Linked DNA regions of Arabidopsis thaliana. The protein of the gene in region 1 interacts with the protein of each later gene in a pairwise test. Each region holds a gene or a part of one and is shown in the gene's direction. Other genes may lie near its edges.

What was found. Proteins that work in one complex are often made in the same cells at the same time.
Region 2: the proteins of AT5G52380 (region 1) and VND7 interact in a two-hybrid assay, tested with the Arabidopsis thaliana proteins (one study listed by BioGRID).

The regions. Positions count from the first base shown.
Region 1 is NC_003076.8:21,260,789-21,265,118, reverse strand, and holds AT5G52380 (VASCULAR-RELATED NAC-DOMAIN 6), read left to right. Parts: upstream 1-1,967; 5' UTR 1,968-2,057; coding exon 2,058-2,354; intron 2,355-2,573; coding exon 2,574-2,715; intron 2,716-2,979; coding exon 2,980-3,071; intron 3,072-3,168; coding exon 3,169-3,265; intron 3,266-3,419; coding exon 3,420-3,598; 3' UTR 3,599-3,766; downstream 3,767-4,330. Other genes in the region: AT5G52390 (PAR1 protein), read left to right, coding at 1-12, 232-561, 648-838; AT5G52370 (28S ribosomal S34 protein), read left to right, coding at 3,916-4,179, 4,322-4,330.
Region 2 is NC_003070.9:27,073,046-27,078,539, forward strand, and holds VND7 (vascular related NAC-domain protein 7), read left to right. Parts: upstream 1-1,656; 5' UTR 1,657-1,997; intron 1,998-2,974; exon of another isoform or gene 2,975-3,148; 5' UTR 3,149-3,159; coding exon 3,160-3,325; intron 3,326-3,740; coding exon 3,741-4,012; intron 4,013-4,247; coding exon 4,248-4,784; 3' UTR 4,785-4,946; downstream 4,947-5,494. UniProt on the Arabidopsis thaliana protein: Transcription activator that binds to the secondary wall NAC binding element (SNBE), 5'-(T/A)NN(C/T)(T/C/G)TNNNNNNNA(A/C)GN(A/C/T)(A/T)-3', in the promoter of target genes (e.g. genes involved in secondary wall biosynthesis, cell wall modification such as xylan accumulation, and programmed cell death).

The DNA.
Region 1 (4,330 bases):
AAACGACGTTTGGTAAGTTTATTCAAATCGCTCTATATATCAAAGTTATCCACATACAAGCTAGATATAGTTCTATTATAAAACATTTTGAACTTACATCGTAAATTTTTAACAAATCCCAATTAGCTTTCTCGATTGTATGTTCAGCTTAACTAAGACATTTTCAAAGGTATGTTATTCTTTTGTTATTCCATGTACAAATACTAAGTAGCATTGGAATTAATTTGGTAGGGGACGATGTGAAGTGCGAGAATCTGGATGAAAACACGTGTGCCTTCGCGGTCTCGTCCACTGGAAAACGTTGCGTTTTGGAGAAGAGCATGAAGAGGAGCGGGATCGAGGTGTACACATGTCGATCATCGGAGATAGAAGCTAACAAGGTCACAAACATTATTGAATCGGACGAGTGCATTAAAGCGTGTGGTCTAGACCGGAAAGCTTTAGGTATATCTTCGGACGCATTGTTGGAATCTCAGTTCACACATAAACTCTGCTCGGTTAAATGCTTAAACCAATGTCCTAACGTAGTCGATCTCTACTTCAACCTTGCTGCTGGTGAAGGTACGATATTGGTAGACCAGTACGGTTATATTACTTTTCTCTCTCTAATAGATTATGGTATAATTTATTTGTTTGGTTTGCTATAGGAGTGTATTTACCAAAGCTATGTGAATCACAAGAAGGGAAGTCAAGAAGAGCAATGTCGGAAATTAGGAGCTCGGGAATTGCAATGGACACTCTTGCACCGGTTGGACCAGTCATGTTGGGCGAGATAGCACCTGAGCCGGCTACTTCAATGGACAACATGCCTTACGTGCCGGCACCTTCACCGTATTAATTAAGGCAAGGGAAAATGGAGAGGACACGTATGATATCATGAGTTTTCGACGAGAATAATTAAGAGATTTATGTTTAGTTCGACGGTTTTAGTATTACATCGTTTATTGCGTCCTTATATATATGTACTTCATAAAAACACACCACGACACATTAAGAGATGGTGAAAGTAGGCTGCGTTCTGGTGTAACTTTTACACAAGTAACGTCTTATAATATATATGATTCGAATAAAATGTTGAGTTTTGGTGAAAATATATAATATGTTTCTGTTTTTGGTTTTTAATGTTTAAATTAAATTCAAAGAAAAAAATATCTTTTGTACAACAAGTGCAACATTTTGTTTTAAGAAATAAAGCTAAAAATCAGTAGTTGATGAACTCAACCACTAGATTCATACCAAATTTGAAGGCCTTTTATGGTAATGTCTATCACCAATGGCTCATATTGAGGACATCCTGTACCGTTCATTAATTGATACTAGAATGGCAACAAGTAGAAAATGTAGAAATTTGGGTATCTATACTCCAAAAATGATTTCAAATAACCAAAATTCAAAAGTTTGGTTATTCGTACTCAAACGAATAATTGATCTCAAATACTCGAATTGAAAGTACAGGTGTTAGAATGTCTTACGTTAAAAGTATGTACATTAGTTTTCTTTATTCATAATCAATTGGTTTTTGAGTATATGTTTATTAGCATTCGAGTAACCAAAAGAATACGTATATATTTCGATTGGGTACGGGTATACGAACGCCAAAAGTTTAAATGCATACCGCTAAATATTTAGGAACTTATTAGAAGGCAATGTGCCCATCCCTAGACCCTAGTTGATACTTGTTAACATGGTTAGGGAAATGTTCTTATACAGTGGGATAAGTTTTGCTATGCTTATGTGAGTAAGCTAGGCAATAGGCATGAGCGAAAAAAAAAAAAAAAGTTAGGCATGACCGGCTCCAACAAAACTTTGACTCTGACTCTGACTGTTCTAAAATTTGAAATAGGCCCATTTAAAACACAATATCCCTTAGCAAGATTAGGTATATGAATATTTGGGTCTATTAACAGTGGGCCAGATGATTGAAGCCCATTTAAATCACAACATCCCCTAGCAAGAGCTTCTTCAACGACCAAACAAACTTGTGTCTTCCTCGTCTCACTGCCTCCACCGCCGCCGGCGAAATCAATCGTGTCTTTCTCTAATTACAGTAGTCAACAATGGTGAACCAAAGGAGAAGACTTGCGCAGAAGCGATACAAGGAAGCTAATCCAGAGCTGTTTCCAAAAGCAGAACCAACGCCACCAAAGGACCCTAATAAGAAGAAGAAGAAGAAAAGCTTGTTCAAGAAAAAGAAACCTGGATCTTCCACTGATAGACCTCAGAGAACAGGCTCTTCCACAAGACATCCTCTTCGAGTTCCTGGTATGAAACCTGGAGAAGGCTGTTTTATATGTCATTCCAAAACCCATATTGCTAAGCTTTGTCCTGAAAAATCTGAGTGGGAGAGAAACAAGGTTTGTTCTTTTCTTCTTTAATCATTGGTTTTGGGATTAGGGTTTTAGTTCAATTTAGTTTTAGATTTAGTAGGGTTTTGGCAGCTCTTGTTAGAATCAGTTGAGGGTTTAATCTTTATGAACTCAAAGATGAAATTTTTCATGAAATGTTGGTACTTTGATGATCACTAGACTTGTTGGTTACTAGAAAATGAATGTTTTTGGTTTTGTTGTTTGTAGATATGCTTGCAATGTAGGAGGAGAGGGCATAGTCTTAAAAACTGCCCTGAAAAGAACAATGAGAGCTCCGAGAAGAAGCTCTGTTACAATTGTGGAGATACTGGTCATTCACTTTCCCATTGTCCTTACCCTATGGAAGATGGTAATTTTTCTCTTCTCTGGATCCGGAATATTTATCTTTTCTCATATTACAAGATTTCAGGAAACCTAGCATCGAAATTTGTATTTTTTTTTACCTCTGTACACAGATATTTGACTTATGATCTGAAGTGTAGTTCATGTTATTTAGAGAGTTTAACATTATATTCTCTGAAAACGTATTTGAGGCTATACTGTCACTTGTTTGTTTGTTTGTTAAGAGTAGTCACTAAGATTAGATTTGGTTGCTGTATTGATTCTTTTGTAGGAGGGACCAAATTTGCAAGTTGTTTCATATGCAAGGGACAAGGGCACATAAGCAAGAACTGTCCCGAAAACAAGCATGGAATCTACCCAATGGTACAATGCTCAAATCTTGTTTCGAGCCTTTTCTTTTCCTCATAGAAGATGAGTTTTGATATGTTGAACAATGGATTTGGTGGGCCTTCTTTTGCAGGGCGGGTGTTGTAAAGTGTGCGGGAGTGTGGCGCATCTCGTCAAAGACTGTCCTGATAAATTCAACCAAGAGTCAGCCCAACCAAAGAAGACTTCAAGTAACATTTTCTTTTGTCTCACTCTTCCAATTCTTGAGCTTCTAATTATGTGATCCTAGTCAAGTAGTTTCTCTTTCAAGTGATTCGGAACAGTGAATGCGATCTCATTTATCTTATAAAGACCATAATTGTATCTCCCTGACTGAAATGACAGGATTTGATGCTACACCAAGAGGAAAGCTCACTAAGTTTAGTGGGGACGATCTTGAAGACGATTTCACTGAAGAGCCCAAAAGCAGCAAGAAGATCAATACCTCTGATGATTCAGCTCAGAATAGTGTCGAGGTGAAGAAAAAGAAACAAGGTCCAAAGATTGTCAATTTCGTTGGATGATCACAAGAGGATCGAAAAGGGTCATCAATTTTGTAGGATATATCAAAAGTTTTGTTTTCTAATCTCCCTTTTAGTCTTGTGTAAGAACAAAAAAATCCTAGTTATTCAGAACAATGCTATGTAATGGAACCACACAGCCAATTCTGTTTCAGATAATCTTCTAAACCGAACAAAACCCACCTAGAACCAAATTAATTATAACATATAGTCTGTTTGTGAATAAACCAAAAGTTGTGCTTCTCCTCCTCAACCTCAGTCGCCGATCTTCAACAGTGGCTGAAACTTGAGAGAGAGAGAGAGAGGAAGAGAGCGACACTATGGCGATGACACTTATTAACAGAGCAATCTCTAGAACCGAAACCGTTGGTGCTTTCAGACTCTCGCTTAATCTCTTAAGAAATTTCTCTGCGGCGCCGGCGAGTGAAAACCCTAGCTCCGATTCGAGTAAACCGAAACGAAGAAAGAAGAAGAACTTAATCGAAGTTGCTCAGTTCTTACCTAATTGGGGAATCGGATACCATATGGCTAAAGCTCATTGGAATGGAATCTCTTATGAAATCACTAAGATCAATCTCTATAAGGTTCTTCTTCTCCTTGTCTTTCATCTCTGAAAATTGAAAAGTTTACATTTTTCTTAAGCTGAGAAAAAGTTTCTGTAAACGAAATCATTTGGAGTTTGTTTATCTGATTAGGGGTTTTGTTTGATTTTGGAATCAAATGCAGGATGGTAGA
Region 2 (5,494 bases), on another chromosome or scaffold:
AAAGAAAAAGAAAAAAAGCGTAGTCATTCTACATGGTGAACGTAACTCGTATATGCCATATTGCCATACATAAAAGAGTCCATAAATATGGTTCGACTGCAAAGAATTAGGGGTTATATTGTTATATACGTGTGTGTGTATAACGAGACTTAGAGACACTATGATTAGAGAAAGGAAAATTAGGGATCGAGGGACATTTATATAACGAAAAAAGTGAATGGTGTGAAAGGGTTAATGGATAGATGGTCTTGGGATTTGAACAAAAGGCTCTCTCTCCCTCGCGCAGTAGACAAATAGGCATGCATGTGAATCTGACTCCAAATCAAGTGCTACCTCTTTTGCCTTTTCTATTTTTGGTACCCAATATTTGTTATAATTTTCATTTTTTCTGTTTTATATATCCATTCTCCTCGAATTCTGTGTCTACCTTGTCATATGTTAAGTATTTTGGATTTTTCTTTGGACTAGGGTCAAAGAGTTACTGAGATGACGTCACCTTAAGCCGAAAGGTGATGAGGTAAAAGAAACGACAGCCAACGGCTTTGGGTGGACCCGTGCAAGCGGATAAATCAGATGAGGAACAAATGATTAGTTATGTGATAGAAACAGGTCTGAATCTTACGTGTCTTACATTCGTAATGACACGTGTTAAGGACGGCGCCACCAAACCAGACAATGGGAGCTGGATTGCTGGAGAAAGACTTAAGAACATATGAAACATATTCCTGTGTTTTACTCTTCTCCTTATTTTTTCTTTCATAATATAATGTTCATATATACACGATTCCTGATGTTTTAATGGCCAATGTTCGTTCCTTTAGGTTTACTATAAATCTGAGTTTAGTTTAATCATTTAAGAAAAAGTTGAGATTGTGGTTTCGAGTGGATCTAGCTAGACTCACATTATAAAATTAGCTGCGGTGGTATATTGAGTGAGATTTACGTAGTAATCCATAAATGTACATGCGTGTAAATCCTTTCGACGTTGAGATGTTTATATACTTAATAAGTTAATAGTAATATCTCTTTGACAAAAAAGTTAATAGTAATATCTCAACAACTTTGAGGTATTACGTGTCTTATCTATGGGTTAATAAGACATACTAAAACTAAGACACATTTCATCAGTACCTGATCCAGCAAACATATAGGAATATATTTCTGTAGTTCTTCTTCGGGTTTACAAATCCAGTCCTTTTTAATCCTTGAATTGTGAATTTCCAACAAGCCACTCACAATTTATAACTAGGTTTTATTACTGAAAATATCTTACATGGTATAAGAATTTATGGTGTGTAGCTGAACATAGTGTTTTAAGAAAATAGATTAATTATATTCAAAACGTAATTTTTTTGTCATCTGATTTTATTGATAATACATGGAATCGTGTTATGAAATATTATCCAATCAAACTGAAGTTTTTGGATATATTCGGAACATCCATTTGACCTAATTACGCCACATAAAAACCGTTAATCTAAAGGATTTGTCTTGTGTGATGTAATAATAACTAATGAGCAATAGACAAATAAAAAAAAGGTTTGGCTTGTGCAGTAACTGCCGGTAAAGTGGAGAAGATTGGAAAAACTTTAAACAAAAAATTGCGGTAAGAGAGAGAGAGAGACGCCGACCAAAAACAAACCGTAGATGTCTATCCCACGCGCAATCAAACCTTTCCTTCATCTCCTTCTTCTTCTTCTTCTCCTTCTTCTTATATCATCATTTTGCACCCACATGTCACACACTTACCATATACATATAATTAAGCATACTCGCATAAACCTATATATACACTCTAAGATTTCTAGCTGGTCCATATGCATGTGATCTAATCAAAAGCCAAACTCTCCTTGTCTTTGCTATATTAACAATCATTTGATCCACACCACCAGAGATTTCAATCTTCCTCTCCTTCTTCCTTTTGCTACTCTCTTTTAGATCGTTCTTGTGAAAATCGCTTGCAAATAACAAGCCCTTCGTCCAATCTTTATTAGCTCGTAAGTTTCACCCCATTGCTCCTTTTAGGGTTTTTTTGTTTTGTTGCTGTACTCACTTCATGCACGAACCAGATGATGATACATCGGCGTTTGTGTTTTACGTTTTTATTATTCAAAAATACATACATATTACATATAGTATCGTTTTGTATCGTTTCATATCTTGAATAGTATACATGTGTGTGGTCCTGTTGAGATTGACCCACAAATATTAGAGTAAACTGGGGAATTGAAATCAATCATGGTGGGGATTTCGGAATCTATGTGTGTTTCTAAGATATTATTGTTTCTTGGAAATTAATTGTTGTTGCACCATAATATAATTTATATTATATAGATAGTCTAGGAAAATAACTCAAGACAAAGAGTGTGTAACACACTCCAACCTCAGTGACTTCCACCCGTCAAGCTTTTCGGCTACATAGCCTTTATATACGATTATTTTACATATAGTTACAGATATATACAGTACTGCTTGTATATTTTTGGTCTTATAATACTACCTTATGTCATTATATATAGTACATATTATACAAAGTTTCAATCTTTTCATTTATAAGCATCGTTCGGTATGTAGAAGGCGAAACAAACCCTTAAACCTAATATTTTTTTCTGGTCCAAAAACTTTCTCTATCAAGCTTTTGCATTTTTTCTTTTAAAATAGTAACAGCTCCTCCATTGTTGGGTGGTCCCATAAAAATACATCATAACCATCATCAGCAACATATAATAGCGATAGCCTTAAGCTTAAAGATCCAAGCTTTTGGATATAATATCTAGTTACATGTATATATATATATATGTGTTTGTATATTTATAGGTATATAGTATATTATCGTGTGCGTCCGTGTGTAACATCACTATCATTACCCAACATACAGCTTTTGGAATTTCATTGGACCCAAGAGCCATTCGATCCCTTTCTTATAATTAAATATAACGAAGCTTGTAATAGGCTTTGGTTTTGGTCCCAAATACAAAACTTTAAGGTTGTGCCTTGTTTGTCTAAGGTTTTCGCAATAGCTTCCAAAAAGACACGCTTATGTTTATATACATTTCATTTTCCTTCATATCATTCTCTTCTCTGCCACTTCTCCATCTTGTTTCTTACTCATTTCTCTAACAATTTTCCAAATTAAATACGTTTATAGGATCATCGTGGATGGATAATATAATGCAATCGTCAATGCCACCGGGATTCCGATTTCATCCGACAGAGGAAGAGCTTGTGGGTTATTACCTAGATAGGAAGATCAATTCAATGAAGAGTGCTTTAGATGTCATTGTAGAGATTGATCTCTACAAAATGGAGCCATGGGATATACAAGGTAATTATATTAATCAACGTGGATTTTGTATAATGATTATCATTGATTAATCCTTTGCATGGAATGACAGTAAATTGTCTAGTTATGACATAAGTTTTGAAAACCAATAATATGTGATGAATTTGGCATGCGAAGTGATTGAGAGAGCCTACTTTCTTTGACTTGTATGTTCATAAACGGAGTGTGAAAAGAATTTCACAAAGAAATTAAGAGATGTATAGTACAATCATAAATCATAATACTTCTTTTGAAATTAAACCGGTTGAAAAGTATAATCATATCACATTTAGAAATTACTTTACTACATAATTTTCAATATTCTCTTTTTTTTTTAAAGAAACATAAAATTTCTAATATTTTGACCTTTTGTAATGTAAGAAATTTATGACATTAATATTTAGTTTTACATTTGCAGCGAGGTGTAAACTAGGGTATGAAGAGCAAAACGAGTGGTACTTCTTTAGTCATAAGGACAGGAAGTACCCTACCGGGACTAGGACCAACCGAGCCACTGCGGCTGGGTTCTGGAAAGCCACGGGTAGAGACAAGGCGGTACTATCAAAAAACAGTGTCATCGGAATGCGGAAGACACTTGTCTACTACAAGGGTCGAGCTCCTAATGGAAGAAAGTCCGATTGGATCATGCACGAATACCGTCTCCAAAACTCCGAGCTTGCCCCGGTTCAGGTATACACATTGAAAGACTCTGACTGATACGCGATTCACTATCAAAGCAATCATCCAAAAACTACTAATAAATAGTACAATACATACTCCGTCTATCAAACCTAAGCAATAATGTTACATGTTTGACGACATTTGATTCAATAATGTTTAAAATTAAAAAAAAAGAAAAAAAAAAAAAACAGGACTAAATCAATAACTTGTTATCTAAATAACTTTATATGTTTGTGAACTATAGGAGGAAGGCTGGGTGGTGTGTCGAGCATTTAGGAAGCCAATTCCAAACCAGAGGCCATTAGGGTACGAGCCATGGCAGAACCAGCTCTACCACGTCGAAAGTAGTAACAACTACTCATCTTCAGTGACAATGAACACGAGTCATCATATCGGTGCATCTTCATCAAGTCATAACCTTAATCAAATGCTCATGAGCAATAACCACTACAATCCTAATAATACATCCTCATCGATGCATCAATATGGCAACATTGAGCTCCCGCAGTTGGACAGCCCGAGCTTGTCGCCTAGTTTAGGGACGAATAAAGATCAGAACGAGAGTTTCGAGCAAGAAGAAGAGAAGAGCTTTAACTGTGTGGATTGGAGAACACTAGATACCTTGCTTGAGACACAAGTCATACATCCGCATAACCCTAATATTCTTATGTTCGAAACGCAGTCGTATAATCCGGCGCCAAGCTTCCCTTCCATGCATCAAAGCTATAATGAGGTCGAAGCTAATATTCATCATTCTCTTGGATGCTTCCCTGACTCGTAATTAAAAAAAAACACACTTCTATATATTGATTTGTATTCTATGATTTAATTGTTCCATCTGGAAAATAACATTTATAACTGTCTATTTGTAAAAGAAGTTTGTGTTTATTACGTAGAAATTTGTTGTTGAATTTCACAAAGGTGGATTTGTTTTTTTTAAAAATTAGTCCCTTTGTTTTTCTATTCATTTATTCTGTTGTCCAAATTTGTAACTCATCCATACATTCTACCCCCATTAATTTTTTATTTGAGTGGTGGCCTATTAGTTAAGAGAACTTGTAATTTCTGATCAGACTCCTAACTTTCAAAATTTCAAATCAAACCTCAAATTTGTAACTCAAACCCAAAATGCACGATTTGAATCGAAATCATATGTTCACCATGTATATAATTAATTAATGTACGTATTAATATGTACTACAAATGTTTACATGTGAAGAAGGTGATGAAAAAAAACAAAAAAAAAACATAAACACAAAAAACTTTTTATTCATATTTTTTAAAAAATTGACCATGATCAATATTGAGCATATAATAATAAATAAAAAAAATGAGTTAAAAAATAAATTTAATTGAGAAACCCTCTCATCGAGTAAGAGGTTTCAATTAAGAAGTCCAAGTCAAAACCTTCTGATCCACGTAGAAGGTCTTAAAAGCCACCGTCAAAAATCTACAAGGCCAACACGTTTGCCGTTAAAAATTAATTTCTAA